Elephas maximus indicus: one gene and its partners. The protein of the gene in region 4 interacts with the protein of the main gene of each other region in a pairwise test. Links are inferred from orthologs where the notes say so. Each region holds a gene or a part of one and is shown on either strand. Other genes may lie near its edges.

Region 1 (7,950 bases), on a different chromosome or scaffold from region 4:
CGTCTGAAAAGATCTCTGTGGAATGAATGCATTTGCCTTTGGGATGCACAGCTAAGACTAGAACCCACGTCTGAGCCTCCAGGCTCTCTGCCTCCTTCAGGCTGTGCCTTTCATGAGGGTTTGTTTCCTCCAGGGCACTGGGGCAGAAGCTAGTGTGGGTGATTCATTAGATGATGAGTCCTGGGGGCTACCTGGCAGTCTGCCATCCAGATGGCAGCAGACTAAATCCAGCGGGGCTGAGGGTGGGGAGAATACATGTTCTGGTTTATGGGAGGGCAGATCTAGGGTGAGGTTGACTCACCCATGGCTTGTGGGGAGTTCCCAGGGTCTAGGGAGCTGCTCCTCTCCACAGCCTTGCTGTACCCTCCAGCCTCACCTTCCAAGTAAACATAAAAGAGCAGGTGCTCTGATGGTCCCTGCCCACTAGAGGAGCCACACTTTATAAGGAACATCCCAATCTCCAGAGGGCTGATGGTCATAAAGGAAGGATGGCAAGGAATACAGTACAGGCAGTGTAGGGTCAAAACTCCTGGCTGAGGAGTCAGAAGGCCCCAGCCCCTATTGTCATGTGACCTGAGCCTCAGTTTCCCCATCTACAATGTCCAGACTGCATGTTCCCTCAAAGCTCCTTCCAGCTCTGAGAAATCTAGGCTTTTGAGCTTAGGGACCGTGTCTCCCTCTTCACCATCTGTCCCCAGCAATTAATATGTCACCTAGCACATAAACCAGCTGTCATTGAGTTGATTCCGACTCATGGCAACCCCGTGTATCAGAGCAGAACCGTGATCCACAGGATTTTCAATGGCTAATTTTTCAGAAGTAGATCACCAGGCCTTCTTCCAAGGTGCCTCTGAGTAGACTTGAACTGCCAACCTTTCAGTTAGCAGCTGAGTGCATTACTTAAGAGAATCTGTCGAAAGATTTCAAGATCATATGGAGGCGAGGATGTGCGATGGAATGAAACGTTGTCCAGCCATGAGCCAGCCTCAAGATCATTGCTATGTTTGGGCCCACTGCATACAGAAGCAATTTTGGTCCACGTCTAGGCTCGAGTCTGGCACCTAGGAGAGGGTTTCTGATTTTGAGGGAATCTAGAAGCAACTTTTCCTCCACCTTCTTCAGGGCACCCAGGGAGATGCTAAGGTTTTTCTTCTAGGCTCCTGAGCCTCCACATCTTCACCCCCCAGAGCATAGAGGTAGATGAGGCAGGAAACTCCCTCTGTCTTCCTTCCCTCATCCCAGCCTGAGACCTGTTTAGAGGGAAGAAGGGGTGTGTGCTGAGGAAGGTGATGGTACATGTTATTATTGGCAGCATGTAAGAGCACGCACAGCATGAGGTAGGGTGTATGTGTAGCATTGTGGGTGGTGTGTGTGCAGGATACAAGTGTGATATGTGTGTCTGGTGTGTGAGGTTGTGTTTATGGAGTACTGGTTTTTTTTTACGTGGCAAGTAGGATGTGGGGGGTGTGTGTGTGTGGAGTATGTGTGAGGGTGTACTTACAGAGCGTGTGTAGTATATATGTGGGGTGTGTGTTTAAGAGTACGTTTATAGGGTGTGTGTGAAGTGGTGTGTGCATGTGCGTGTTGTGGTAAGGGGCCGTGTCAGGTTAGGGCGGGAGCTTGAGATCCAGGGTCTCCAATCCAGAGAAGCCAGGGTAACCAGTATCCAGGCAACCATATTGGGGGGAGGGGAAGAGAAATGGAGGTGAGGAATGGGCAGAAAAAGGAGGAGGGAGGCTGAGAATTAGAGAGGAGTTTCCATGGCAACCACCAGGCAGGTCACATGCAAAAGGCTAAGTTGCGGAAACAGATATACACATCCACACATATACAATGTGAGGGCGGCTGAGCTCCAGAGTGCAGGTTCTGTCATAGAGAGAGTGGGCTGCCCACTGATCCATCTCCAAGCCTGGAAATTCTGGCCCGGCCATAGAGCACAACGCCAAGAGACAAAGGAAGTGAAGACAGAGGCCACGTTTGTGGGAGAAGCCCCTGGCTGCCACAGCCCCTGCACCTGGAGGCTTGCAGCAGGGGATGGGCAGATCCATTTCTCCTGGATGGCTGCTCTCTGCTCCCACCCTTGGGCACTTTCTCTACCAGCCACCACTTGTAACAGCTGGAAGCAAGCACCAGGAGACCCAGGCTGCTCAGCCAACTCTCCACCGAAGCCCAAGGAAACAGTGGGGGAAACAGGGTTCCTGGCTCCATTGAGGTCAGCCCTGTTAGGAAAGAGGGGCTGGACATGAGGGAGAGGAGGGAATAGGACTGGGTCCCCCCACCCTCCACCCTGGGAAGAAAACAGATTGGAAAGAAGAACCGGGGAAAAAATTGATGCAGACCTTCTCCTCAATCCCCATACCCTGGAACTCCAGGCCCTTCTTTACCTGCCCCCACCCCCTTGCCTGCTGCCCAGCTCCAATCCCTGGCCATGACCCCCACGCACCAAACAAGCAAGTTCCATTTTGTATGGCTCGTGTGCTCACACTCCCTCGTCCTCACATCCACACGCCCCACGCCAAGTCTCCACAGCCTCCAAGTAACAAAGGAAAAACACCCTCCGGATAAGACATGGTGGGAGCCGCCCTGCCATTCTCCCAAAACCATAGCCCCAAGCTCAAGGCAGCATCCTGAGCATTTGCCAGTCACCAGCCTCACCCGCACCGCGCTACCTGGCTCCCCTCGGCGGCTCCTAGGCCCTTCCGACGCCCACCTCCTTGTTTACATCCCCAGACCCGCTTCCAGCTGTTCAGGCGGGGACGAGGACGGCCGCTGGCCACGAAGGACCGCACACATCCACGGTCACAGACAAAGCCCGCCGCTCCCGGGGGTCGGTCCCACCCGAGCCTCCTGCCCTCCTTCGAAGAAGAACCTAACCCGGCCTCCCCGCCCCACCCCAGCGCCTTACCTGCTCAGCCCGGACCCCTGGGAGCCGATCCTGGAGGACGTGCCGAGCCCCGAGGCGCCGGGGAGTGGCTGGGCTGGGGGCGGGCGCTGGGCGCGGCTTCCGCGCTTTCCCGCCTCCCCGCTCGGCGGCGCCGGGGCCCGAGGGGCGCGGCCTGCCGGGCGGGGGCTGCTGGGGGCCGGGCCCCTGGCCCGGTGCCTCGGCGTCGGCTGGCTGCTGGCCGCGGGCCGCGTCCCCTGCCTCCGGCCCGCTCCGGCTCGCGCGCAGCCCTCCGTCTGGGCGGTTTTTCCCGAGGCCAGCGGCGCTCGGAGAAGCAACAGGAGCCTGCCCGTGGGGGCGTGCGGCGCGGGAGCGATTTGCGCCCGGCTGTTGCTTTTTGGTTTTCCTCTGGCGCGGGTGGGAAGGGAGCGAGACAAACACAGTGCCAGAGCCAGTGACTCTGTGAAATAGTAAACTGAGGGGAACGGAAAAATCAGAGAAAAGAACGCAGCACCAGACACAGCAACCCACGTTAATTGGGAGCCTTGGCAATTAAGGGGAAGTGAACTAAAAGCATGAATGGCAGTGTCGTAGGCGCAGGAGCCAGCTCTGGTTGTAGCTGTCATTTTCAGTGAGAGCCAGGTGGGGTGCTGGCGGCGGGGCCCTCATCCCTACCACAGATGTACCCAGGCCCGCTTTTCAAGACCCCCACCCCACTCTCAGGCCACAGCTCGGTCCCCTCACTGCTCCCTGTTCAAGCCCCGCTCCACTCCAGTCCTCACGCGTCAAAGTTCCAGATGACAACTGCGAATTTTTAGATTTGGCCTCCGTGATCTTGGGCAAATCACAGAAGGACCCTCTTGAGCCTCAGTTTCCTCATGTGAAAATGGCGAAGATTAACACTGACCTCTTGGAAGGCTTAGCGCAGTGCTCACGGTGAGCGCTTGAAAAACTGGCTGTGACTACCGGGAGGAGAGCCTGTAGGAAGACAGGAAGGCCAGGCACAGGCAGAAACCACAGGAACACAGCGAGGGGCAGCCATGCTGGTAGTACCCAGAAAGTGGGTGGAGGCTGCTCAGCCTGAGCCAAGATGTGAGAGGGAAGGGGTGAAAAGGGGGCAGTCCTGAAAGACACTGTGACAGTCCAAGTCTGGGTAGGGCCACAGGGTCTTCCTTACAAACCCCAAACCCTATGGTGATAGATGCTTCTAGGAAGAGCTGGGTAATGGATCAGGAGACCCAGCCCTGCCTCCACATCCCCAGCCCTGGGCCTCAGTTTTCTCATTTGTGAAATAAGGGTGAGGATTAAATATTCCCCACAGTCCCTTTCAGCTCTAACCCTAGATGATTTACTTATTTATTTATTTATTAAAACAACACATATTTATTATATTTCCAAAGTCAAAATCAGTCTCACTGCGATAAAACCAAGGTGTCAGCAGGGCTGGTTCCTTCTGGAGGCTCTAGGGGAGAAAGTTTCCTTGCCTTTGCCAACATCTGGAGGCCAGCATCCTTCCTTGGCTTGTGGCTGCATTGCCATCTTTCCCCTGTGCCTGTCATCTCATAGCCACCTTCTTCTTGTATAGTCAAATCTCCCTCTGCCTCCTTCTGATAAGGACAAAAAAGGACAGTTGTGATTAATTTAGGGCCCGCTCAGATGATCCAGCGTAATCTCCACAGCTCAAGATCCTTAACTTAATCACACATGCACCATCTCTTACACCATACAGGGTAACGTTCACGGGTTCCAGAGATTAGGTCTGGATATCTTCGGGGGCCATTACTCATCCTGCTGTAGCACTCTGTTCATTTATTCAACAAAGATTTACTGAACACCAGGAATTGTGCTATCACTGAAGGAGCAGCAGTGAACAAGTATTTAGTTCCATATTTCCCCAAAAAATACTTTTTCTAATAGACTCTACTTAAGTTCTTTTTTTTGTTGGTGTTGTGCTTTAGATGAAAATTTATAGAACAAACTCACTTCTCATTAAACAGTTAGTACACGTATTGTTTTATGACCTTGGTTAACAACCCCATGACATGTCAACACTCTCCCTTCTCTACCTTGGGATTCCCTATGACCAGGTTTCCTGTCTCCTCCTGCCTTCTGGAAACCGTGCCGTCTAGTCCTTGCCCCTGGACTGGCGTGACCCGTTAGTCTTGCTTTATGTCTTGTTTCATGGGCCTGTCTAATCTTTGGCTGAAGGGTGAACCTCAGGAATGACTTCATTACTGAGCTAAAAGGGTGTCCTGGGGGCCATATTCTTGAGGTTTCTCCAGTCTCTATCAGGCCAGTAAGTCTCCTCTTTTTTTTTTTTTTGGTGAGCTAGGGTTTTGTTCTACATTTTTCTCCGGCTTTGTCCGGGAACCTTTATTGTGATCCCTGTCAGAGCAGCCAGCAGTGGTAGCCAGGCACCATCTTGTTGTACTGGACTCCGTCTGGTGGATGCCATTCTAACCCTAGATGATTTAATTATTTTAATAAATGGTTGAGTCTCAATACCCCAAGGCATAAGAGAGAAATTAATTTAAGAAGGATTTGAGTATGTTTGGAGCCAGTAGAGAGAGGAACCATAAATGACTACTGAGAAAGAGAGGGGAAGAGAGCCCCACCAGGGCAACCCTTGGGAAGACAAGTCTGGCCCCTTTAGCACAAGCCCTTGAGGAGAATGGACCCCGCTGTGGCCCAGTTGCAAACTCTGGGTTCTGGTAAAAGGTAAAGCTCTTCTACCTCAAATCTTGCCCAGCTCTGTGACGTTAAACAGACCAAATAATCGTTCTGTTCCTCTGTTTTTTCCTTTTTTAACTGAGCACTTTGTTACAACTGTCTTATCCCCTTTGCATTTCCTCTGGGTGGGAGAGGCAAAGCTGCACCACTTGCTAGGCGCATGTCCTTGGGCAAGTAGATGAATCCCTTCCAGGCACCCTTGACGTCTGCCTTTTGGCCACCTCTCTGTGTTCCTTTCAGGGATCCTATTGGTGAGGACATGTAAAAAACCTAGGCTTTGCAGACCTGTTTGAGAAAGGAAGGGCCAATGGGTCAGGACTCCAAAGCTGGGCCACCTGTTGGTGCCAGCCCCTTTTCTGCCAGGGAATTCTAAAGTGTTTGGCCACTTTACCCCCATGTCACCTTGCCTGTCACTGCAGACCAGTGACAGGATAGTAGCAGCCACATTCACATGAGGAACAGTCGTGGCTTGACCTCAGATAGTGCTTCTTCACATTCCATCCCAGGGCACTGCTGAAGGAATTTGGGATGTTACAGTCACAAACCAGCTTGTTCTGGGGGGGGGTCACGTCTCCCTTCTAGCGGAAAAAGAAATGCATCTACCCTATGAAAAATGCAGGTCTGGATAAAAAGAGGTCACCAGTTGCTACCATTCTTTCAACACATTTAACTGATTTGAGGAGCCACTCTGCTGAGCCCTGGACCAAGCTCTGGGGAGACAGTGGTGACAGTAAAGTCACGGTCCCTGCCTTTGTGAAGTATACCTAATGGGAAAGATAGATATTCATCAAATAGTCCTGCAATAAGTGTGTCATCAAAACACTGATCAGGGCCCTGAGGATGTAGCATGTGAGAAGCAAGCTGAAGGGTCAGGAGGATGAAATGAAGGGGCCAGGAGTTGGTGTGCCAGGCAGGGCTGAGAAACGATTCTGCCACAGGAACAGAAGAAGCATGGGCAAAGGCCCTGAGGCAGGAGGAAGCCAGTGTGGCCATAGAGCAGAGTGGGAACGCTGGAGAAGGAAGCAGAGGTCAGGCTAGGGCAGGCCTGGTAGTCCCTGGATGATTCCAGCTTTTATCCTTAGGGCAGTGGGAAGCCACTGAAAGACATTAAGAAAACTGTTACAAGCAAGAATGACGGACCCCGCAGTCAGGGCTCAGGGCACTGTGAGGAAAACAGTGGTAACTTGCTGAGCAGTAGGCCTGGTCGTTCTCTAGGGCTAGAGGGTCCTTCTAGAAGGCTCTTCTAGAGGCCCAAGATACAAAGAGGTTCACAGCAGTGGTGGAAGGAGATCAAGAAAGAACAGGAACCATTCCTACCCACCCCCAAATTGGAGCCACGGGAAGACCTAGGACTAAGAGGATAGCATCATCCTTGGGCATGGAAGCGACTGCTCCACACTTCAAGCTTGTGCTGAGCTAAGTACCCTACAACTGTGTAGTTAAAACCCCATCTGGATAGCACTCGTGCCACTTGTACTGTGGCAAAAATAGCCCTTCGACAAGTTAGTGCCTGGGTTACCCAGCCACTGACAAGAAGGGAGACCAGAAGTATCAGGGAACACCCCCTGCCACTCCTAGCAGGTAACTGTCCAAGGCGGCCACGGGAAGCTATGAGATGTCATTTCATACCGGGGCGTAGACTGTAGAACCTGAGCAGACCCTGCCAGGCAGCACCTGGCCCGGACCATTTGCAGCTCACAAACTGCTGCTTTGTGCCATTCGCATTCACTTTGCTTCATACAGTCCCTGGGTGGTGCAAATGGCTATCATGATCAGCTACTAACCGAAAAGTTGGGGGTTCGAGTCCACCCAGAGGCACCTCAGAAGAAAGATCTGGTGATCTATTTCCAAAAAACCAGCTTGGGAAAACCCCACGGGCCACAGCTCTATCCTGACACACACCTTGTCGTCCTGAGGCAGAACTAACTCAACGGCAACTGGTTTTGCTCTGTCCAAGTTTGAGTGTGTGTCTTCGCCCCTCAGCCAAATGATGAGCCCCAGTGTCTAGGACAGAACAGTGCTTTCCTAACTCCTTGGCTGAATAGAGCTCTTATCACTTCCAAGCCACTCCTGATCCTGGACCCCTCCTACCCTGACCTTTCTTTCTCGAACTCCTCCACTTCTCCCTGGATAGCTTTGTTGGGCAATTTGTCATTTACATATTTCCTGGACAATGTAATCCACGACCGTGGTTTTACCATCCCACTTAGGGCTGATGGCCCCACAGTCTCCAGCCTGGTCCTCTCCCCAGAGACCCAGACAAGTAAACCCCAGGGCCTTCCTCCTAATCAATCCATCACCAAACTCCTCACAGCCGCTTCCGCCCTCCCCATGTCCCC
Region 2 (7,758 bases), on a different chromosome or scaffold from region 4:
GGAGCACCTGATGAAAAATGGGCTCAGGCAAAGGATTCCAGCTGAACCTGGTCAGGGCCTCAGGGCGAAGGGAAACAAAGGGTCCCCCCACAGCCATACCATATTATCTGGAAGGAGGGCAATGGACCCACCCAAACCACAAAATCAGATGTCCCGTTTCTGAGGGACACGTGATATCCACGTGTGTGAATACAGCCTTCAGTTCCAGGCCAAAGTTTGCAACGAGAACACCTACAGAGACCTGCCAGTGAAGGTGTCAGACAGGGAGCAGTCAAGCTTGACATGGCAGTCAAGCAGGAACTGGAGAGCACGTGCTCTATCCAAAACAGCCAGCCTCTATCCAGCTTGTTGAGAAAGTTTTATGTAAAATCTCTCAATCTATAAGTGTTGGCAACTAATTTAATTGTTTTAAAAATTGAGGGCCAACAGGGAAAAAGGATAAATAGGCAAATGCTAGGTTGTGTATGGTTTTGCAACAGTAACAACCACCCAAAAAGAGGGGGGACCCTACAGATGCTAATACTAATTAGACATAACCAATCACCTCGAAGGATTCATTCTCTTGGTCTGGGGGCTTAGGGCCGTGGTCTTGTGGGATACTCGATTGGTCTTCTGGGACAATCCAGTCAACTGGCATAATATAGTTCTTAAAGTTCAAGTCCTACCTCCCAGGATGGTAAGAAGGGTCTGGGGTTTGAAAAACTTACGAGTGGCCACCTAAGATACAACAATTGGTCCTTATTTTTGGGGAACAAAAGAGAAAGAAGAAAACCCAAGAATCAGAGAAGGAACAGGGCAACAGGACTGTCTCCTCCACCTCCAGACTAGAAGAGCTAGTGGTGCCCAGCTACTACTCTTGAACATTCTGATCAAGAACACAACAGATGAATCCTGATAAAAGGGGAGAAAAATGTGGAATGGAACTTCAAACTCTTAAAGAATACAGAACTACTAAACCTACTGAGGCTCTGTCCTAAGACCATGGCCCTGAGTTGATCTTCAAACCTTGAACTGAAACTACCCTCTTAAGTCACCTTTAAACTAAGTAACAGTTTAATCCAAAGAGTAAAGATTGTCACCCAAGAGTACTGTTTCTTAAAAAAAAAAAAAAAAAAAATCTTGGTATATAAAACCAAAGGGTCAACAACTACTTTAAAAAATAGATAAGAAAATTGGGGAGCAGGGAGATTAAGTAAATGGAAGTGAAACAACTAGAACAGAAATAGAGAGAATGTTAACACAATGTGAAGAATGTACTAATGTCACTGATCATTTTGTCCAGAAACTGTGGAATAGGAGCCGGCTTGGTTGCATGTATTTTCATCAAAAATAAAATTAAATTGAAAAAAAATTTTTTTGATGGTCAACAGTTAAGGGCCGGATTCACCCTATAGGCTGCTGGTTTGCAAGGAAAAAAAAAAAAAATCCCCAATATGTTCTATTTTCTTGCTTCAAGTTTGCTGGCACTGGTCCTGTACCTACCATGCTGGAGGCATCCCCACTTGGCCCTTCCAGCTGCTTTTATGCAGTGAGGAAGAGTGCCTTTTTTCCCTAAGAAGTTATTTCCAATTACTAACAGATTAATGTTTGCCTTAAACATCTTGAAAATGTTAGTTTTAAGGCCACCTGGAAACCTAAAGGTAGCTTCTTTCCATGGTCGTTCTAAGAAATACCCGGTGGGAATTAGGGGAAAAAAAAAAAAAATTGCTTGGCACCGCGCTTCCAAGGAAGAGGAAATGCAGAATGGCCAGTATTAGATAACTCTGAGCTCAAGAACAAAACTAAGCTGAAGAATTCTACCACAACTGCCAAACAGGAAGAATCTTCTGAGCCGGGAAAGCCATTTGCAGGCAACAGTAATGAAAACGTGATGGAATCAGACAAAGAAAAGTAGTTGAGAGAGAACTTTTCTGTTTAACAATCCTTGCCAAAAAGCAAAACAAAACAAAACTTTCCTTTCTTGCTAACTTCTGCTACGCCAATCGACCCTAACAGAATGGATAGGACAGTTAAAGCTGGATGGCTCCACCAACACACGTCCTCTCCTGAACTCCTAGTAGCTGAACGCTTCTAATGGCTTCTAGTAGCTGCAACTGCTTTCCATAAGCAACAACTGCAAATCCAACATTAAACACAAAAACTACTCCGATTTCATTTTCTAGAAACCAGTTATCCAGACAGACATCCACTCTGGAAGAAACATGCTCCTAGCTCCCTAACCACACACCGTTTATCAGGAAAGGTCACTTTAAAGGACTTAGACGACAGGGGCGCTTGCAGAGAACCCTCAGAAAGTCCAAGAATCGCCCCTAGAGGAAGAGGCCGTCTCTCCGCCGGGGACAGACGCATCTCGACCGGCTAGGGCTCCCTCTCCGCCCCCCGCAAACGTGCAAGTTCGCACAATTTCTCCATAGCTGACCTGCTTCTGTCACTGCGTCCCCTTCCTCCTCCCTCCAACCCGGCCGCCACCAGTAGAAACCCGTCCCGGGAGCCATTCCTCGCCACGGTGAGGGCCGCGGGGGACGTGCGCGTGGCTAGGCGGGACTCTGGGGCCTGCGCGGGGGGCCCCGGCCCTTTCACACGGCGCGGCCGGGTCGCGGCCCACCTCGCCCGGCCCGCCACCACCCCATCCACTGAGTCCCCGCACTTCTGCGCCCTGGGAAGCTGGCCTTGGCTTGGCCCGAGCGGGCGCCGGTTCCCACCCGTGTACCAGATCCTCCCGGACTGGGTCCCCGCGTGCCCGGTGGGGGACGAGGAGAGCGGGCGGGAAGACGGAGCCTGAGAGCTGAGGCCGGGTGAGCGCTGCTGCTCTAGGAGGCCCCAGCGGGCTCCACGGCTCCTGAGGCGCCTGCCCCGGAGAAACAACAAGACCCGAACCTCACCTCTCTCGGGTGCTGCCGCCACTGCTGCCCGGGCCAAGGCGCCTCCTTCCCCAAGCGGCCATCTTGGAGACACTCTGCTCGCAAGCGCCTGGCGCCAAGGCGGACCCCAGGCTGCTGCGGACCGAAGGGAACTGTAGTCCATCAGCAGCCCCGCGGCAGCCGGGACGCCGGGGCCGCACAGCGCCGGACCGCAACACCCACAGTGCACCGCGCGCCGGAAGCCCCGCTTCCTGCCTCCTGGGAGACGTAGTCCTCGTTGGGGCGGGCCGCCGGGAGACTCAGCTCTCAGGGCGCTTTTAGAAGTTAAACTCTCGAAGCTCGCAGCCTGGGGACTCAGGCGCCCGCCGCTTGTCTGTCCTTGGCTCTCGAGGGCAAGTAGGTGAAGGGGAGAAATAAAGGAAAGTGCCTACAGCTCCCAGCATGCTCCGCGGGAGGCGGCCCTCGCCCTGCCCGCCGTCTGCCGCGCTGCGTTCCCTGCGGCGGCCGCGGACTAGCAGTCGCGCTGGTTCTGCGGCTCCGCCTGGTCTGGCCAAAGCGCGCCGCTCGTCTTCCCGGTGCTGCGCCGGCGGGCCCAGCTCGGGCCCCTCGGCCTCGCCCCACGCGAAGACGGCGGGACATGCCCTTCACATCCGCCTCCGCTCCCTAAGGTCATTGAGGGGCAGGAGGCGCAGCTCGGACCCATTCGCCCAGATTGTCTGGATTCCGGGGACACTTTGGAGACCAAGTCAGGCGCGGCCCCTGCTGTCACGGAGCTGGAGGAGAGAGTCTGAAAGCCAGAAGAGAAATCCCTACAGTCTGCGATAATTGCTGCCAGGGAAATAGGGTTCTCTGATGGAGAAAAACAAGCCAGGGGTCTTTTAGATAGGGCCGCTGGGGCCTTTTCAGGCCCTACCACACATCACACGCCCTCTGCTGTCTGCAGTGGCTTGAATGTAACCTCTTATTTCGGTGTTTTTGAAACCGTATGCCCGGCAGGTCTTCCCACGTGCCAGGAACCCTGCTCCAGGACCTGCCTGGACACAGCTCTAAAGGGTCGGGGTCAGGATGGACTCACGGAAGCCCAGAGATTCCTAGATGCAGCTTCCTCAGACCTATGGGCATTTTGGGGGTCTGAACTGCTAGGCCCTCTCCTGCTTCCCACAAACTGTATTACTAGACATATTCGTTGGTTCATAAATATTCATTGAGTAACTATTACATGCCAAATCGGATTCAGATTCAGAGTCGGGAGTAAGCTTGCTCTTGCTCTCGCTCTTGGCACTCCAGCCAGGTGGAACTCCGCGTTCCAACGCAGGAGACTGTCAGGGTGAAGAGGTTCATCAACGAGCATTCCTCCGGACTTCGTTCCAGCTCCCACGCTACAATATTTTTATCTGCTAAAAGTTCCCTCGCAGTCGCTCCTTACCTACGGGATAAAGTCCAGGCTCCTTAGCACGATCTAGAAGCCCTCCTTAATCTGGCTGCTGCCTACCTCTCCAGCTTCAAATGCCTCCTTTTCCTGTCTGGAACTTGACACTCTAGTAAATTCAGAGGATCTGTGGGTCTCCAGATGTCCCATGCTCTGCCTAAAATGCTTTTCCCTCCTGGCCAGATTTTATGCTTCAAGACCTTGAGCCTATCTGATCTCTAGGAAGTACCTGCTTTCCCAGTTGGAGAGCACCAAGCACTGGTGTGACAAAGTGTAGCACACTCCAGAGACCTCTGAACACTTAGCATAGTACCTTGTTGCTATCTATGGACATGTCTGTCTTTTTCTCAGGACCTGGAGCTTTACATAGCGTGGTGATTAAGAGGCCATACTAGGGATTCTAGAACACCTGGATTGGAAGCATGGCTCCACACATCTGGATCTAGGGCTTCTTACATTACCTCTCTCAGCTTCCTTGTTAATAACACCAGGATGATATTAGTACCTCCTCTCAGAGGATTGCTATGAGTATTACATGAGATGGTAACATATATTGAACTTATGTTAATGCTTGGCGCAAGGTAACAGCTGATAGCTATGTAATACCAAGCACTGTTCCAAACATGTTAAACAATATAATTCTCTTAATCTCCACAACAGCCTTGTGAAAGTGATACTGTTATTACCAGCATTTCACGAATGAGGAAACAGAGTTACAGAGGACTTGAGTGACTTGCCAAGGTCACATTGCCTTCACCCCAGGCTGTCCAGCTGCAGAGCTTACACTATGCTCTATTGTGTCTCAAGAAGAGCTCTGTAAATGTTGTCTTCCTCAGTGAGAACAGATGGGTTCCAAGACTGTCCAGTGCACAAAGTAAATGTCAGTGCTTAAACAGCCACTGACCCAGGATGACCTTCCCACTCCCCAGCTCTTCCACTATGCCCTCAACTTCTAAATAGCCATCTGCTTCCAATCTGCTGACTTGAGTTGAAATCCCCAGAATGTTGTCACTTGATCACTAGAGTATAGACATCTTCTGAAAGGTTCGTAGGCAGGTTGACTCATTCAGCATGTATGAACTAAGCACGTACTGAGGACACAGCCTGAATTGTAGGAACTGGAATTCCTATGGGTTCCCATGCAGGGGAGACCCCTAAAGAGATCCCTGATCTGCTGCTGACAGGCAGCTGGTGGGACAGGCACGTCTGAGCTGGTGCTTTTCTTACCACACTTTTCATTCATTCGTTCTTAAAACGGTTAACTATTGAGTCATACTCTGTTAGGCACTGTTTTAGGCACTAAAGGTAAAGCATTTAGTAAGACAAATACTGTTTCTGGTCTCATAGACTTTACGTTCCAGTGGGATAGACAATAAATAAATACTTTAAGAGAGTACTGAGTACTGAGAAGAAAACAAATAGGAAGATGTAATAGAGCAAGTTGGAGGGACAGGAGACTTGAATGAAGAGAAAGCGTGTGCTCTATGAAGAGCTGGAGACAGACTGTCATGAGCAGAGACAACAATACATGCAAAGGCTCTGGAGTGCAAATAAGCTTGATACGTTCCAATAACAAGGTGGCTGGAGTATAGTGAGGAAAGGGTAGCACATACTTGGTTTGCTTTAGGTTACTTCCCATTTTAATTTCCATTTATTTTGTTGTTGAGATACTTCCTTTCTTTAAATTTCAGTTTTTTCAACTGTAAAGTAGGGATAATTTTACTTACATTGGTCAGTGTCTAGTTAGAAAAAACAAAACACCCTAGGTATTTCAAATAGAAGGACCTTAATGCAGTGTGTTGTTTACAGCATGTTGGAAGGGCTGGAGAAGCAAAAAGAGGGCAATGAATGTCACCTGTGAATACTGTGCTCCTTTAAAAAATCATCTATATGAGGTTAAACTGTCAACAATTAAAACAAAGATGAGAATGTAAGGGGGCGGGGAAACTAGAGTAATGGAAATGAAACAACTAGAATGTTCACACATTGTGAAGAATGTAACCAATGTCACTGAATAATTCGTGTAGAAATTGTTGAATGGGAACCTAAACTGTTGTGTAAACTGGAAACACAATAAAATATTATTAAAAACGACAACAATTGCAGCAGTGTTTACAATAGCAAAAAGCTGGAAGCAACCAAGGTGTCCATCAAAGGATGAATGGTTAAATAAATTGTGGTATATTCACACAATGGAATACTACGCATCAATAAAGAACAGTGGGGAATCTGTGAAACATTTCATAACATGGAGGAACCTGGAAGGCATTATGCTGAGCGAAATTAGAGGCAAAAGGACAAATATCGTATAAGACCACTATTATAAGATCTTGAGAAATAGAATAAACTGAGAAGAACACATTTTGTGGTTACGGGGGGGAGGGAGGGAGGGTGGGAGATGGTTTTTTTACTGATTAGATAGTAGATAAGAACTACTTTAGGTGAAGGGAAGGACAATACTCAAATACACAGAAGGTCAGCTCAAATGGACTGGACCAAAAGCAAAGAAGTTTCTGGGATAAACTGAATGCTTCAAAGGTCAGCGGAGCAAGGGCGGGGGTTTGGGGACTATGGCTTAAGGGGACTTCTAAGTCAATTGGCAAAATAATTCTATTATGAAAACATTCTGCATCCCACTTTGAAATGTGGCGTCTGGGGTCTTAAATGCTAACAAGCGGCCATCTAAAATGCATCAATTGGTCTCAACCCACCTGGATCAAAGGAGAATGAAGAACACCAAGGTCACACGATAACTATGAGCCCGAGACAGAAAGGGCCACATGAACCAGAGACTTACATCATCCTGAGACCAGAAGAACTAGATGGTGTCTGGCCACAATCGATGACTGCCCTGACAGGGAGCACAACAGAGAACCCCTGAGGGAGCAGGAGATCAGTGGGATGCAGACCCCAAATTCTCACAAAAAGACCATACTTAATGGTCTGACTGAGACTAGAGGAATCCCGGCAGTCATGGTCCCCAAACCTTCTGTTGGCCCAGGACAGGAACCATTCCCGAAGACAACTCATCAGACATGGAAGGGACTGGACAATGGGTTGGAGAGAGATGTTGATGAAGAGTGAGCTACTTGTATCAGGTGGACACTTGAGACTGTGTTGGCATCTCCTGTCTGGAGGGGAGAGGCGAGGGTAGAGAGGGTTAGAAACTGGAAAAATTGTTACGAAAGGAGAGACTGGAAGGGCTGACTCATTAGGGTGAGAGTAAGTGGGAGTATGGAGTAAGGTGTATATAAGCTTATATGTGACAGACTGACTTGATTTGTAAACGTTCACTTAAAGCTCAATAAAAATTATTAAAAACAACAACAACAACTATAATCAGACAGAAAAAGAGTGCAACAAGGATACCCAAAGAAGCCCTGGTGGTTCAGCAGCTAAGTGCTCGGCTGCTAACCAGAAAGTTGATGATTCGCATCCACTCAGCAGCTCTGCAGGAGAAAGACCTGG
Region 3 (7,786 bases), on a different chromosome or scaffold from region 4:
ACAGACCTCTTGTTGAAATTAATGGGTATAGATCTATATAGTGGGGTCCATACTAGGCTTTCGAGAACTTTTATTCCCTCAGCACTATGATTCCTCCCTTACACATGGAAGAGATTCAGACATAAACTAAAAAAGAAACAACTTCAGGGTAGACAGAGCATTTGGGAAATACAAAAGCAAGAAGGGAAACACTCATGAGCTTTTATGTGATATCCAATTATAGAATGGAGATGGAGAAGGGTATAAAATCATCAAAATATCTCCATTTAATTGATCTGCTTCCCTGCCCTTCCTTGTCTCTCTAGTTAACATTAGCCAAAGTAAGGAAGAGAGAAAGTATTTGTAATGTGTTTTGAGGCCCAGAGACAAGCTATAAATTGAACAATAATGTTAAGGGCTAGGATTGAGAGGCAGATACAGTTCAAATCCTGGTTCCCATATCTGTTTGTGCACTTGGGGAAATAATTTGACACCTCCTGACGGCACTGGGTTTTTTTTTTTACACATTAGTTCCTAATCCAGAGTGTCTCAATAAGCATAAAAAAATTAATTGTTTATTATCTTGCGTTAAATTCTGTAGCACCCTCTAGTGGTATGTGCAAAATAAGCATTGCATTTCTGCCCTCCAAAGCGCTGGTTCTCAAATTTTAGTGTGCATCTGAATAACCTGGACAGCTTCTAATAATACAGATTGCCAGGCCCCACCCCAAGAATTTTTGATTCTGTAGGTTTGAAGTGAGGAGGCCTGGTGGCTCAGTGGTTGAGTGATTGGCTGCTAACCAAAAGGTCGGTGGTTTGAACCCACCAGCAGTTCTGCGGTAGAAAAGACCTGGCTATCTGCTCCTGTAAAGATTTCAGCCTGGTAAACGCTATGGGGGCAGTTCTGTCTTAAAGGTTCTCTATGGGTCAGAATCGACTCAACGGCAGACAACAGGGCTGAGTGGGGCCTGACAATCCGAATTTCTAACAACTTCCCAGGTGATGCTAAAGCTGCTAGTTCAGGAAACATACTTTGAGAACCACTGCTCTAAACGACCCCGGACCGACATACACACATAATGTATATATGATTGATAACTCAAAGAGGAATGATTTTTGTTGTTGGATTTTGATTTTGTAGTACCCACCTAAAAGGGATTTTATGAGGAATAAATGAGAATATCCATGTGAGGTCAACACCGCATCTAAAATATAGAAAGCATGCAAAAAACTGAGAATCACAGAACATAAATCATTTGCCCAGAGTCACAGGGCTATAAAGTGGTGACATAGAGATTAAAAGGTCTCTGGCTCCAAAGACATAATAAAGTTTAGCAGTACCACTGCACATACACACGTGTGATAAAATTGTCATGAGAAAAGATCAGTTTTCAATGCCAGATCCAAGTTTTACCTCAGAGTTTTTAATCTATCTTTACGGACTAAACAGCCCTCTGTGTACTGTTTTGGGGGGTTGTTAACATTTGAGAAGAAGGTGAACAGAAAGGGTAGAATCTTCATCAGCATCAGTGCCTAGTATCATTCATCACTTCCCTAAAAAAAGAAGGCATGGAAGAAAGAAGACAGAGGAATGAGGAAGGAAAAAAAAATTTTAAGGGATGAGGTAAGAAGGAAAGAAACAAGAAAAGCATTTGGATCTTGGGCCATGGTCCCCTGCCTATTAGGGCCATTTACAGAGGTTGGCTTCATTTTCCCCCTAGAAACGAAAGAAAGATATACTCACTGGAGATTGGAGAGTTCAGCAAATCAGAAACACGGGAGGACAAAATCCCATAATTCCAGGGACCAAATAGCCAATCCTTTGCTAGGATTTGGCGACATCTAGTGGCCGACTTGAGAGGTATAAACCTCATCCAGAGAACTTTCTGGAAAATTAATTGTGTGTGTACTCGCTTGAAGGGCACTGTGCTTGGTGGTCAGGACAAAAAGGTAAGAGTTCCTCAGCCGCCACAGAAATTTACGGTCCTTCGTGAAGGGAGAGGCAGTCGTATATTGATTATCCCAGCAGAAAATTATATTTGTACTAGGGGAATTGCGTGCAACTTTGGGGACGAGCGGGGCTAGGGGGCGGGCAGGGAGAAAGGGGTGGGAATGGGAGAGAGGGGCAGGGAGCAGGGAGCTGTCCTGAGAAGGGGGGAAAAGGGACGGGGGACACAATGGAGAGGGGGAAAGGGCGCGAAGGGGGGGAAGGGAGAGAAGAGTCGAGGGATGGGCGGGAGGCGGGGGAAGGTAGGGGGAAGGGCGGGCGGGGATGGGAGGAGGATATTGGGGAATATGAAAGGAGCTGCCCCTTGGAGTTGCTAATAGAGGAACGGGAGGGTTTGGCTCTTGTGCAATGGGGAGATGTGATTTAGAGCAGGATTTTGGCACCGAGCAAAACGTGGAAGGGTCTAAAATTGAGTCAATAGGAGAAACCAAAATACTTCATATAACAGAGGCCCTTTGTTATTATCCGCTTGACTTATTTTCCTTTTTTTTAGAACAATTTTCAAACATACAAAAGTAGAGAACAATTGCTATAATAAACACCCACACACTTATTACCTAAATTTAACATAGTGCAGCTCACCTATAGGTAAACACACACACACTCACACCAACCCCACTCAGGGACACACACCGTGCCCCAAAGCTAAGGGCGCAGGCTGGCGCACACCCCCAGGCCACGCGAGCTCGCCTGCGCGCGCGCGCACACACACAGGCCCCAACGACACGCGCCCGAGCCACCCGCCGCCTCCACTCACACGCATATTAAAAACACCCCCGCCTCCCCCCCCCGAGTTGCGCAAGAGGTTGGGGGGCGTGGCCCCAGGTTTGACCTCGCGCTTCCCCACCGGCGGGAACCTTAGCTCATTTCCGCCGTCCCGTTTCCGCAGGCCACGTAGACACTTCCTTTCCCAGTGTGGCGGGGGGGACCCATAATGCCTCTCTAAAGAAAAAAAAAAAACCTTCTGGTCAAGGGAACTCTGGGTCGTGAAAATAGGCCACGTGAACACTGTGCTCTATAGACTTATGACCCAAAGGCTGTCGCGCTTTTGGAGGGTGGGCTAAGAACCTAAGAGGGCGAATGTGATTGGCTGCAGCTCACAGTAAAGAAGGAAGGTGATTGGTTTGCTCCGAGCCTTAACCGTGAAGAAGCAGGTTACTAGCACCCGCCTTTACTGCGGCTAAGTGTCACTGCTTACGTGGTAGTCCTCGTCCAATCATTTGGTTATAGAACATTCTAAAACTTAGACAAGACGAATGTGATTGGCTGAAGGGCATAAGCCCGCCTTTAGGATGACGTGTCTGCCTATGGATATCAGTTGCCAGAGAAACCTGGCTTTACTATGGCGGTTGGAGGAACGGCAGTGATCACACGTCGGCTGTTGGGAAGAGCTGGATTCTCGTTTCAGGTTTCGGGGTGGGGGTGGGGAGGAAGGGTTGGTGATTTCCCTTTATCCTGTGTATGTATAAGGTATATATATACACATATACAGACAGAATCAGCTACTGGCTTTACAATCGGTCAGAGCTGGTTCAAATTCCTGCTCGCCAACGCCCAGCTCGGGCAAGGCTCCGATTCTTTCTGTATCTCGGTTTCCATGTTTGTAAAATGGTGATAATAATAGTATCTACCTCAGAGACGTGTACGAGGGTTAAGTATGATAGTGCGTATAAGGCGCTCAATACGAAGCCTGGCTCTTGTAGATATTATTATTACTATGGAGATAAAGCCTCACATAACAGAATGAGAAAATATGTATTATGTAAATTCGCTCATTATAGTGCCTTCCCTGCCCATCAACTTCCCTCGAAGAAATTAGAGATGTAAGAGGCGTAATTGTTATCGATGAAACAATACGCCGAGATTTGCTTCGGAATAGGATTGAAATTTTCCAAATTGAAAAGTAAAAAAAAAAAAAGATTGAAAACGAGAGCGAGCTGGAGATCAACCACATGCGATGAGTAGGCCTTGTTTGGTTTCTGATTTGAACACAACTGTAAAACGTTGTTTAAGATACATAGGGAAAATTTGATCACCGACTCGATGTTTTATGGCTTTTAAGAAATTTATATCATTTTTTAGGCGTTATAATGATACTGTGGTTATGGTTTTAAATTTTCTACCTTGTAGCGATATCGACTAAAATATTCACAGATTAAATAATATAATGTCTGGGATTGGCTTCGAAATACGTTGACGACTAGGATTTGCTTCAAAATAATTTCTGCGAAGGGGAGAGCGGAGAGGGCTGTAGATAAAACAAAATTGGCCTGAAGTTAAAAATCGTTTAAGCTGACTGTTATTACTCTGTCTATCTTAGTGTATGTTTGAAATGTTCCATAATGAAATATAAAAAATCAGCTATTTGGTGCTTAAAAAATTGGAGGGGGGGCAGTGGGTGGGGTTATAGATGAAACAAGATGGCCTTCAGTTGGTAATTGAAGCTGGGTGATAGATTCGTGTGGGTTGGTGATACTATTCTATCTAAATTTTTGTCCATTTGATTTTTTTTCCTTCATAAAATGGTTTTTAAATATTAGTTTGTTTAAAAAATAGGTTAAATGTACATGATTTGAAAATATAACCACAAGAAAGAAAAAAATATTTGTGCATATTTATCAGCTTTGGTGTTCTTTGTGTGTGATAAAATGCATTGATTGATGGAAAAGAAAACCGTGGTCTGATATCTTTTTATTTTATGTCCTTTCCTGTCCCCTTCTTTGACCTTCTAGGTCATCATCAGAAAAGCTAAGTTAGTTGCACAGTAAGGATCAGAAGATCTGATCCTGATTACAGAACCATCCCTCATTACAGAATCTTGGGTAAGTGCTTCCCTTCTCCTGGCCTCAGTCCTCAAACAAGATAATACCACATAGTCTTGCTAAATGTCCAGGAATATTTAGAACATTAATAAGCCCTTATCTGGGAAAGGGAAGGATGGAGCTAAACCCTTTGGTGCTTCCAGAGTAGAAAATGGATATAGAGGCCTAAACAAGAGAGGGCTTATATAATCTTGCATCCCTTGATGAAAGATTTTACAAATGATGCCTTATAGTTAGTTCCACAAATCCATATGTTTGTTTGGTTGGTTTTTTTCCTACTTTGGGGTATCCTATATGCAGCATAGTTTAGTGGTTAAGAGCAAATACTGTCTTCCTAAATTTAAATCCTGGTTCTGCCACTTACTCTGTGATCCTGGGCGAGATATTTACTCACTTTGTACCTACGTTTCCTCGTATGTAAAATAGAAGTAATAGTACCAACTTCATAGGATTGTTGTAAGAATTAAATGTAAAGTACCAGGATGGCGCCTGGCACATGTAGGTACTTTAATAATGATTAGTCCTTCTGATACATCCTGTTTTACACACACACTTACACATGCTTCTAAATGCAGTAGATACCTCTCTTTGGAATTGCAAAAAAAAAATTAATAATGTTGGTTTCTCTCCTGATTTTTTAGAAGCAGCGTTACCACTAGAACTGAATTCTGAAATTTTGACTTCTGGCTTGTCCTAACAGTCTAGAAAGGTTTTAAATGTATTGATCACACATATTTATCAGGGTATTCCCAGGAGCTATGACTTTAACATAAGTGGCAACTAGCAAATCACACCATATTCAGTTCGCTGATAGCTTTTATATCATTCCTCCTTTGTCCTCGGTCTAGAAAAAAAAAATAACAAACGGTTACACATGAAGGAGATGTTCCAAGATCCTGAAGAGAGGATTGATATAAATGAAACTGACTTGGTATATGTGCATTTGAAGGTTTAGTCCATCAAACAAGGAGGTGCTATTCACACTCATTTGTGGCACACGCATACACAAAGGTGTTAGCATTTGGAGTCTGCATTCCTGAATGGTTCATCCCGTGCTTGAGGAGATGAAGGAAGGTTTGCAGGCTCTTGACAGCTTCATTTTCTCATGGAGTCACTGTATTTTGCTTATTTTTCTCCGTTCCAAAAGCTAGGTTTCAGAGGAGGGCACTGCCCTGGTGGAAGAGATGTACTAGATGAGTAGACAGATAAACCCTCTACATGAGGCCATTTGGAGAATGATTAAAGGCTAAAGGGAGCAGGGTGTACTGTGGGGCCAATAGGAGGTCACAGAAGGTATCAGTCAGGGTGGCCTGAAATGGAGAAAGCCTTGAGGAAGAAATGGATCTTGACTTGAGCCTCTGAGGTTGGGCAGAACCTAGAAGGAGGGAGGGAAACCGGTCTGAATGGTGCTCCTACAGAGTACACAATAAGCAAGAATAACTAACTGAATAGTTTAGCACTATGTAAGATCCATGGATAAGAATAGCTCAGATTATTATCATGAATTTAAACTATGTATTTTTAATTTAATTTTTAATCAATATGTGAATACATTCTCCTTATAAATTTAAATCTAACAGTAGGCTTAGGTTTTCTTTTTAGCCACCCTCAATTTTCTTACCCTCCCCAGAGGTAACCGTTAACCGGTTTGGTTTGTTTCCTTCTAGATCCCTAAAATGTGTACCTCTTTTAAAGATGTTTATGTATGTATATAAAATACTGTTTTGTGTTTTTCTTTTTACTCAAATATGGTGTCCCACCATAAGTATTGTTTTACAACTAGCTATCTTTGTTCAGTTTCCCTTGGATCTCTTCATGTCCATTCACACAGTTCTATTCGATTCCTTTCACAGTGGCATTCCTTTAACTAGCATGATATTGCATATCATGGATATACCACTTTTTATTTTGCCAGAGTGGAGATTGACAGTGGTGTTTTGCTACTTCAAATAATTCTGCATCAAACATCCTTACATAGTTTTCTTTGTACACATTTACAAGTGTTATTCTAGAACAGTATTTATGTAATTAACCAGTGTGATGCCAGTTTGAGAATAATCAGACATCACGGACAGAACAGATAGCCTAGAAATAGTGATGCCTTTGAGAATTGAGTAATCAAACATGGGGAAGAGAATACCACAAAAGACCCATATACCTCTGGGAATTTAATAAAGTAGCATTTCAAATTACTGGGGAAAGGGTAGACTCTTCAGTAACTGAGATGAGGAAAAGTTCATTGTGTGTTTGGAGAAAAGTTAATGTCTTATGCAAAGATGAATTCTAGATGATTACAGATTTAAATGTAGGAGAAAAACTATAAAAATACTAGGAAATAGTATAGTCAGTGATTTCTTAGAAATTCTTAAAGTAAGACACCACAAACAAAAAGACAAATGGCAGCTTGGAAAAAATATTCCAAAACATAAGCTCAAAAAAACTTAATTAGTAGAAATTAATAAGCAGCAAATAACCCAGCAGAGAAGAAAAAAGAAATTGCCAACGAGCATATGAAAAGATGCTCTGTATCACAAAAATTCAAATTAAAATAAAATGCCTTGTTACCCATTAGATTGCCCAAAAAAAAGAGGTCCCCCCCCCCAAAAAAAAAGATGTTTATCTACGGTTGTCGAGGAGGTTGGTGAAATGACTTGCGCTTTTGCTGGGAATACAAATTGAAACAGTTCTTTTTAATGTGCATTTGGCTTTATCTTATCAAAGTTGTAAATAAGTAAATCCTTTCACCAAACAGTTGCACTTCTGGGAACAGAGTCTTCAGAAATACTTAGTCTCATGCTCTAATAAAGCTGTACTATTACAGCATTTTTTTTTAAATAATGAAATATCGGAAACAACCTGAATGTTCATTAATATGGGACTGGTTAAACTAGGGAACATAAAAATTACAGAGTACGGTGTGGCTGTTGAAAAAGAATGAGGTAGGTACGTGCTAACGTGGAAAGATGTTCGTGATAAC
Region 4 (7,702 bases):
AGTGACTTGCTCACACAGCAACTTCTAGCTGAGTACCTCTTACCACCGAGCCAAACCAAACTCATTGCCACTGAGTTGATTCTGACTCATAGCGACCCTATAGGACAGAGTAGAACTGCCCCACAGGGTTTCCAAGGCTGTCATCTTTTATGGAAGCAGGCTGCCACATCTTTCTCCAGCAGAACAGCTAGTGGGTTCAAAGTGCCGACCTTTTGATTAGCAGCCGAGTGCTTAACCACTGAGCCACTAGAGCTCCTTCTCATCCAGTCTCTGGGATGAGTTAGTGATTACGGACTCTTACATGCCAGGCATTGTGCTAAGTCCTTTACATTCATTTTCTCACCAAGTCTCTACCACAACACTGTGGTGAAGCTTCTAAGAGCCCCCCACTTTTCAGATGAGGAAATTAATGCCCCGAGGAAGAAGAGCCACTTGTCTGCATTGGCCTGGCTGGACCAATCTCCAGATTTTCAGCCCAGGGTTTTCTCTGTCTCCCCTCAGATGCCCCTTCTTCTCCCTCTATCTCGCCTAGCCTTGCAGGTTCTAGGCACAGGAGGCTCCCCAGCAGGGCTTCTCCTCACCACAGCCCCAGTGCTGGACACCACTGCCTGATTTCCTGCGCCGGACCGAGGCCCAAATGAGCAGCTGGGGACGCAGGGCTGAATGGAGCTGAAGGAAGAGGTGCAGGCTGCAGAGTTCATTCAGAAGAAAGTCCAACTCAGAGCTGCAGAGGGCTGGGGGAAGATCACCAGGGGCCTATCCTGGTTCCATGGCCCTCCTTGGCTGCCAGGATCCCAGCGCCAACAAACCTTCTCCTTCTGACCAGTACCTCCTACCGACCCCAGGAGTGTGTGGACTCCCAGCACCTACTGGTTTATTCCTTGGATCTACGCCAGAACTGTTCTTAGAAAGACTTGATCCAACCTTTCTCCCATTTTACAGACAAAGAAGCCGAAGGCCAGGGAGGCAGTGAGTGACCTGGCCCAAGCTCACAAGCAGAGTCAGCAGAGCCAGGACTAGAACCTAGGTCTCCCGCTGTCAGCGCCAGGTCTCTCCCTCCTCTGCTTTGACTGGGGCAAGGGGCCTTTCTCAGGGAGCAGGGTGACCAAGATTTGCTGGCTAATGGAGATGGGGGAGACCTCACACCCTATCCTATGCCTTCCTGACTTAGGTTCTGTCTCTTGGCCTCGGTTTCTCCACCATTAGTCAAATGGCCTGTGACAGTTCTGGTGGAAGTCTAAGATGCCCAGGCCCAGGCTCTCCAACCCTATAAGTCTCTGTGGAATTCGTACTTGTCTGGCCCAGTTTATCTTATTCTGAGGAGGTAGAAGCCATCAGGGAGAGATCCCCAAGATGATTACTGAGGCTGTGTAGGGGGGTGGGAGTGGGGGACTGATGGTTCACAGAATAGGGGGCTCCCACCAGATTCCTCAAGCAGCTCTCATGTCATAGGGCAGCACCTTCCCTTCCCCAACCCAAATATTTCTCCTTTTACTGAGCCCATGGCCCTCCTCAGGGCCTTAGGGCTGAGCCTGAGAAGGAAGACAGGGAGGGAAGAAGAGAAAGAAAGAAGCCACATTTCCTTAGGGAGGGAGGCAACAGGGAGCAAGAGGAGAAAGACAAATCCAGAGATAGATACAGTCGTGAAGACACAGGGAGGGAGACAGAGACAGCAAGACATGAGGGGCAGGGACACAGAGCAGTGACCCAGAGACACAGATGGAGAGGGAGGCTTCCCCTGCCTGAGTGCCACCTTGTGCTACCCCGACCAGCTGGGCTCCTCCACGGGGGATCTCAGGCCCGACTCCCTGTGGGAAGCAGCCGCGGCTGCATCCCTAAGTTTCCGGGTCTGGCTCTGGCCTCCGGGGGCGCCGGGTCTCTGCCGCCCTCCCCACCCACCGCGGGAGCCGGGTCTTTGGCCCTCTGAATGCTCCGCTGTGCGCCCCCCAGCGGAAAACCAGACGCTGAGCCACCGAGGTCCTAAAGGGGGCGCAGGAAAGGGCGCCGCCACTTTTCGTCCAGGCTGATTCCAGAAGCCCGGGGTGGGTGGAGGACGGCTAGATGAAGTGGTGGGGGGATGGTGTCTCAAGCTCCTATCCCAGGACTGAGTAGCCCCGACGCCTCGACGTCCCTTTGCCCTAGAAGGCCAGGGCGAAAGTATCCATGGTCCGAGCCCCCGGAGGGACGCGCGCTGGGGCGAGCTCGGAGGCTCCGGTCCAAGATCGGTGTCTACGGAAGTGTCAAGGGACCCAGCTGCCAAATCTCAGCGCTCAGAGCACGTGTCCCTCCAGGAGATCCTATACCCTTGGGCCCTCCAGGGAACTCTCCCTCGCTCCTGCCCAGTAATGTGTATAGTGGGGTCCTTCCGGGGGGCCCAGGCGCGCCGCGAAGAGAGGTGCGGGGCGGCGGGAAGAGGACGCAGACCCCCCCTCCATCTTACCGCATTGTTGAGGAAATCAGACTCGTTTAGATCCCCCAAGTCCAGGAAGCTGTATCCGGGGAACAGCCTGTCGGCCGGGAAGGGCTCCAAGACGGCGTCCATCGCGGCGGGCTCCGGGGACCCCCTTCGGCCTGGCTCCCCTCACTCCAGGGCCGCTGCGCGCTCCGCTCCGAGCTGGCAGGAGGCCGGGGGGCAGGTCCGGGGCCAAGCCCCCGGGGAGGGGTAGTGGGAGGCAGGCGGCCCGGGCTGAGGGGCTCAGGGCGCGGGGCCTCAGGACAGCGGCTCCGAGCGTGTTGGGCTCAGGGGCCCCGGGCGCACCGTGGGCATCTAGCCGACTCCTCCTCCTCCTGCTCCTCCCGGGGCACAGCTGGCTTCCATGGGGAGCCCAGGGGTGGGGCTGAGGGCTTGGGGAGCCCCCTGGACAGGATGGGAGCCGGGGTAGGGAGCTAAGCGCTCCCCCGAGATTGGGTGGGCGCTGGGCGCTAGCGCTCTCTCCGCGTCTCCCTCCACAAGGCTTCTGTCACTTTCCCCCCCACTGTGAAACCGGGAACCCCGGGCTGGTTAGTCCAGCCGGCCAGGGCGCCACGCCCCCACATCAATATTCACAATAGCTTAATATTCATGAGAAGGGGGCAGGGTTTGAGGAAACATCACTCCTCTTTTAAAGAAACATCCGCAACCTGGTTTCCCTTGTCAATTTCTGTTCTCTGAATGCTCCAGGTAGGTAGGAGCTTGAAGCAAACGCGTCTTGGAGCCTATAACAATGTTCCTGGGGTCTCGACACCTTGTTTAGGCTTTGCCAACTATTCTCCCATAAGTTGATGAGGAAGTTGCTTTTTCCATTCTTCCAGCCTTATGCTAAAACCTGAAACAAACCCACGGTTAGGGGATTCCATCTCACGGTCTCTCAACAGAGCTCCCTCAATGAGGATATAGTCAATTTCTTGACTCATCTTTAGTGTCTCAGCTCAGGTGTCTCCTTCTCCAGGAAACCTTCCCTGACTTCCAGGCTGGGGCAGTTACCACCCCTATACACTCACAGGAAACCGTGTGCTTACCTCCATTGTGGCAAATCTAATGAGGTACTATCATTGTTCCCTCACTGACCCCACTGGACTTTGAGATCCTTCAGGGCAAGGACTGTATCCAACTTTCCTGTGTGTGAAAGGCTCGGTTGAACAGCAGAGATGAGGGGAGGACCCCTCCTCTCATCAGTCATCAAGTGCCCCTAACGGTTCTGTGGAGGAGTCCCTGGGTGGCGCAAAAGTTAAGCACTTGTCTACTAGGCAAAAAGTTGGCAGCTCAAACCCACCCACAGGTAACTCAACAGAAAAGTCTAGCGATCAGCTTCTGAAAAGTCCCAGCCTTGAAAATCCTATGGAGCAGTTCTACTCTGTACACATGGGGTTGTCATGAGTCCAGAATCAACTCAACAGCAATTAGCAGCAATAACAATGGTTCTAAAGAGTGGGAAGTTGGAGCCTTTGGCTGAGTGACATCCTGTGTTTCGTAGCAGGTGAAGGCATTTGTGGAGAGAGAGGCGGATTCCATGTGTGCAGGCAAAGTGTGTGCTGAGATGATGAGTCGCTGGAGACCAGGGTGGACTCTTCAGACCCAGGATAGGCCTCTGGCAGGTACGTGTCAATCTCTTCTGCCAGAGGCCTATCCTGGCTTTAGAGTCTGGATGAGCCAAGATACTGGATGGCTGCATGCTCCACGGTCACCTGGACACTCCCAGGCCACCTGGATCCATCAGCTAAGTGGCCCACTACTATGTACAACTTAATCTCTTGAAAGGGCTGATAAACAATTACCAGGCACCTGAACAAATGGAGGTGATTGAAAAAGGCGCTCCCTCAGAGGGCTGGGCACACCAGCTCCTCCAGCTCAGAAGTCATTGATAGGATTAAGTGTTTCCTCCTTTTCTGGGGCTTTTAATTAGCTCAGGAATGAAAAGGCCTTTTAAGAAGTGGAGATGTCACTGCACCTAAGCCATGGATGTCACTGAAATTGTTCTCTCGGTGCCAAGGTGGGAGAAGAGCACACACCGGGGCTGAGAGAGTGGCTGTTTGCTTGCCTGGGGCGGGCAGGCAGGCATGTGGCTTTCCCCCAACTCATGACCCAGTGGACACAGTTCTGGGTAGTGAAGCTCTGACCCTCCAGGCTGTCACACGATTGTTAGCTCCCAGGCCTCCTGGAGAGTTTGCTCCCAAGAAGCTGGGATTATAGGCCATGCTCTGGGGACCAGTTCACCAGCAACACTACCCTGAGAAGTTAAAAACAAAAACCAGCACCAAACCTGTTGCCGTCAAGTCTATTCCGATGGCAACTAACAATAACAACAGTCTTTATGAAAGCAGATCTCCAGGCCTTTCTTCCATGGGCTTCTGGATGGGTTCTAACCACCAACCTTTAGGTTAACAGTCAGGTGTGGACCGTTGGCACCTCCCAGGGACCTGAGAATTTAGGCTATCCCCCTCAGCCAAAAACAAACAAAAAAACACACCAGTTTATTCTCAAAACAGTGGTACATAGAATTAGGATGCTGAGACTGTGGGTGTTTTCCCGTGGTGTAGTGGTTAAGTGCTAGGGCTGCTAACCAAAGGGTCAGCAGTTTGAATCCGCCAGGCACTCCTTGGAAACTCTATGGGGCAGTTCTACTCTGCCCTATAGGGTCGCTATGAGTCAGAATCGACTCGACGGCACTGGGTTTGGTTTTTTGGTTTGGTCTCACATGTGGCCAACTGGGGACCATTCAATGTGGCTGATCACTTTCAGGGTGGGAGGAGCAGTCTCTGACTGGATGAACAAGCCAGTCTGTTGTGGGTGAGCTTGTGGCAGCAGGTGTCTGGAGTCCTGGCTCCTGAGCTGGAGTCCCCGCAGGCCCTCTGGAGGAACAAAAGTGCCCCTCTGCCTGAGGTGGGCTGGAAATTTTGCCTGTGTTCCTCCCAGCCTGCTCTGTAATTAGAGACACAGGCACCATTTAAGTGATTGGGGAAGATTATATAGTTTTAGATAAATAGGATTAGAGTGTCCTCTCTTTCCTGATTCTTACCCAGGTGAACACCCCAGGAAACCATTGAAAATAATCCTGGGGAGACATTCTGGTTCCGGCACCTTCTGTGGAGTCTGAGAGGCAAGATCCCCTAAGAGGAGTCCTGGGGGAGGGGTGGGAGGAGGAGAGAAGAGAGAACGGGCAGGGCAGAGTCTGGCACGTAGTAGAAGCATGATTTTTTTTTTCTGGAATGAAGGGGATGGCAAAGCTCAGCAGAAATGAGGCTGGCAGGAGATTTATTCACACATGCAATAAGTATTATTGAGCACCTATTATGAACAGTCCCTAGAACAGACACTGGAGACATGATACTGATGAGGAACGTACATTCCAGAGTGAACGTGGGCGTGCAGGCACTGGGGCAGGGGAGGAAAGTAGGGGTGAGTAATTTTTAAAAGATAATTTCAGAGACTGATAAGGATTCTGAAGGGAATATCATAGTGTGACGTGACTGTGCGGGGAGGGAAGGCCTCTCTGAAGAGGTGAATTGAGCTGTGAACTGAGGTTATGTATGGAGCAAAATGGAGGGAAAAGCGTTCCAGGCAGAGGAAACAGCAAGTAGAAGAGAAGGAGAGAGAAAGGCCTAACTGGGAAGGGTAGGGAGGGGCCTGGAGGGCGATGATGACTGTGAAGCCCCAAGCCCCTACATGAACCTTAGGGCCACACTAAGGAGTGAGGCTGTGTTCCACACAAGGATTGAGGAGAACTGTGCCAGTTCAAACGAGAGAGCCCACCTGAGGCTTCTGTAGGGTGTCATCAGCACTGTGTCCATTCCGAATAGTCTCTTAAAGATTTTCCAGGACAGGAAATTGGACAGCTCATGGGGTCTGAAGTCTGGGTTCTGACCCAACAGGGAGGGTCTGCTCTCCTTCCTGCCAGTCCCTGGTCCTGGTCCCACAACACAGCCCCCCTCATACGAAAAGATGGGGTCTGAGGAAGGAGGCCAAAGTTCGTTCTGTAAACACCACCCTCAGACTCCCAAATACTCCAGGCAGAGAAAATAAGGGAGCACAGCCCTTCTGGCTCAGGAACACCTGGTCTCTGCTTTTCAGCAGCTGCTCCAGCTGTGAGGCGAAGCTTCAGGCATAAAGACTCCCCAGCCCAGTCAGTGACGCACAGAGCGGAAAGGACAGAGATAAGCTTCCTGTCTGTCCCAGGCACTGGGGGCCAGGCAGAGAGAGAGAGGGAGAGAGAGAGAGAGAACACGCGAGCAAGCTGCCAGGCTGAGCTATGTGAGCAGGGCTGTGTGTATGTGGGGGAAGGCTTCTTGGCTGGGGACTGCTACATTTTGACACACCTGGAGCGTCATTGCCTTTCTCTGGGTCTCAGTTTCCACATCAATAAAATGGGGAAGGTGTTCATTCATGACCCCTAGAGTCCTGTCCTCTCCAAGGATCTTCCCAACATGCCCCAACCAGGACAGGGTCCCGCAGCGGGGGAGGTGGGGGCCGGAGGGCCTGCCTTCTCAGTTTTACAGCCTTATGCCCCAAGCCTTGAGGAAGGTGCGAGGCGGGCTGTTTACACTTGGCAGGCAGGTCCTGGGTGGTGGCGAGAAGGTTGCCCAAAGTAAACCTGCCTTGTTTGCCCGGATTGTAAAGGGAAAACGTTTTGGCACGTTCTAACAGGAACTTCTGAGAAATGAAAACATACTCATCCTGGAGATTAGGCTGACTTCCGGGGCGCAGACGGGGCCCTTTGTTCTCTTGTGGCTCCCGAAAATGGGCCTCTTTCCCTGTGCCCCCTGCTGTGGCGGCACCCTGCCAAGGACAGCAGGGTGGGCTTCAGGCTCTGGACTTTTCTTCATCCCCTGGTCTGTGGTCCCTTCCCTGCCCTGCCCTGAGTCATAAAAATAGCTAACATTTATCGAGTACTTGCTTTGTGCCAGGCACTAAATACTTTACTTATATTATCTTGTTTAATTCTTGGAACAAGCTGATGAGATAAGCGCTGGATTCCACTGACTCTAAGATGCACATTTTTTCACTTTTCAACATCTCTGAAATGAGAATGTCTTCTAATCGATGGTGTGTCAGAGTTTAAATGGCAGCATTTTCTTTCATTCTTAGAATATATAAAATAATGGTGCGCTATATGATTGATGATAAACCCTGGTGGCATAGTGGTTAAGTGCTATGGCTGCTGACCAAAAGGTCAGCAGTTCGAATCCACCAGGTGCTCCTTGGAAACTCTATGGGGCAGTTCTACTC

Evidence for each region.
Region 1: the proteins of CREB3L1 (region 4) and FXYD6 interact in binary tests that used the Homo sapiens proteins (3 or more experiments, as listed by UniProt). The two-hybrid records come from large-scale screens. The link is inferred for Elephas maximus indicus from reciprocal best matches to the Homo sapiens genes CREB3L1 and FXYD6.
Region 2: the proteins of CREB3L1 (region 4) and TMEM11 interact in binary tests that used the Homo sapiens proteins (3 or more experiments, as listed by UniProt). The two-hybrid records come from large-scale screens. The link is inferred for Elephas maximus indicus from reciprocal best matches to the Homo sapiens genes CREB3L1 and TMEM11.
Region 3: the proteins of CREB3L1 (region 4) and PLP1 interact in binary tests that used the Homo sapiens proteins (3 or more experiments, as listed by UniProt). The two-hybrid records come from large-scale screens. The link is inferred for Elephas maximus indicus from reciprocal best matches to the Homo sapiens genes CREB3L1 and PLP1.

The regions. Positions count from the first base shown.
Region 1 is NC_064835.1:10,219,255-10,227,204, forward strand, and holds the start of FXYD6 (FXYD domain-containing ion transport regulator 6), read right to left. Parts: upstream 3,014-7,950; 5' UTR 2,906-3,013; intron 1-2,905. UniProt on the Homo sapiens protein: Associates with and regulates the activity of the sodium/potassium-transporting ATPase (NKA) which catalyzes the hydrolysis of ATP coupled with the exchange of Na(+) and K(+) ions across the plasma membrane.
Region 2 is NC_064820.1:216,394,517-216,402,274, reverse strand, and holds the start of TMEM11 (transmembrane protein 11, mitochondrial), read right to left. Parts: upstream 3,016-7,758; 5' UTR 2,945-3,015; coding exon 2,883-2,944; intron 1-2,882. UniProt on the Homo sapiens protein: Plays a role in mitochondrial morphogenesis.
Region 3 is NC_064846.1:54,511,461-54,519,246, forward strand, and holds the start of PLP1 (myelin proteolipid protein), read right to left. Parts: upstream 3,014-7,786; 5' UTR 2,820-3,013; intron 1,930-2,819; exon of another isoform or gene 1,839-1,929; intron 1-1,838.
Region 4 is NC_064825.1:101,759,547-101,767,248, reverse strand, and holds the start of CREB3L1 (cyclic AMP-responsive element-binding protein 3-like protein 1), read right to left. Parts: upstream 3,008-7,702; 5' UTR 2,543-3,007; coding exon 2,441-2,542; intron 1-2,440.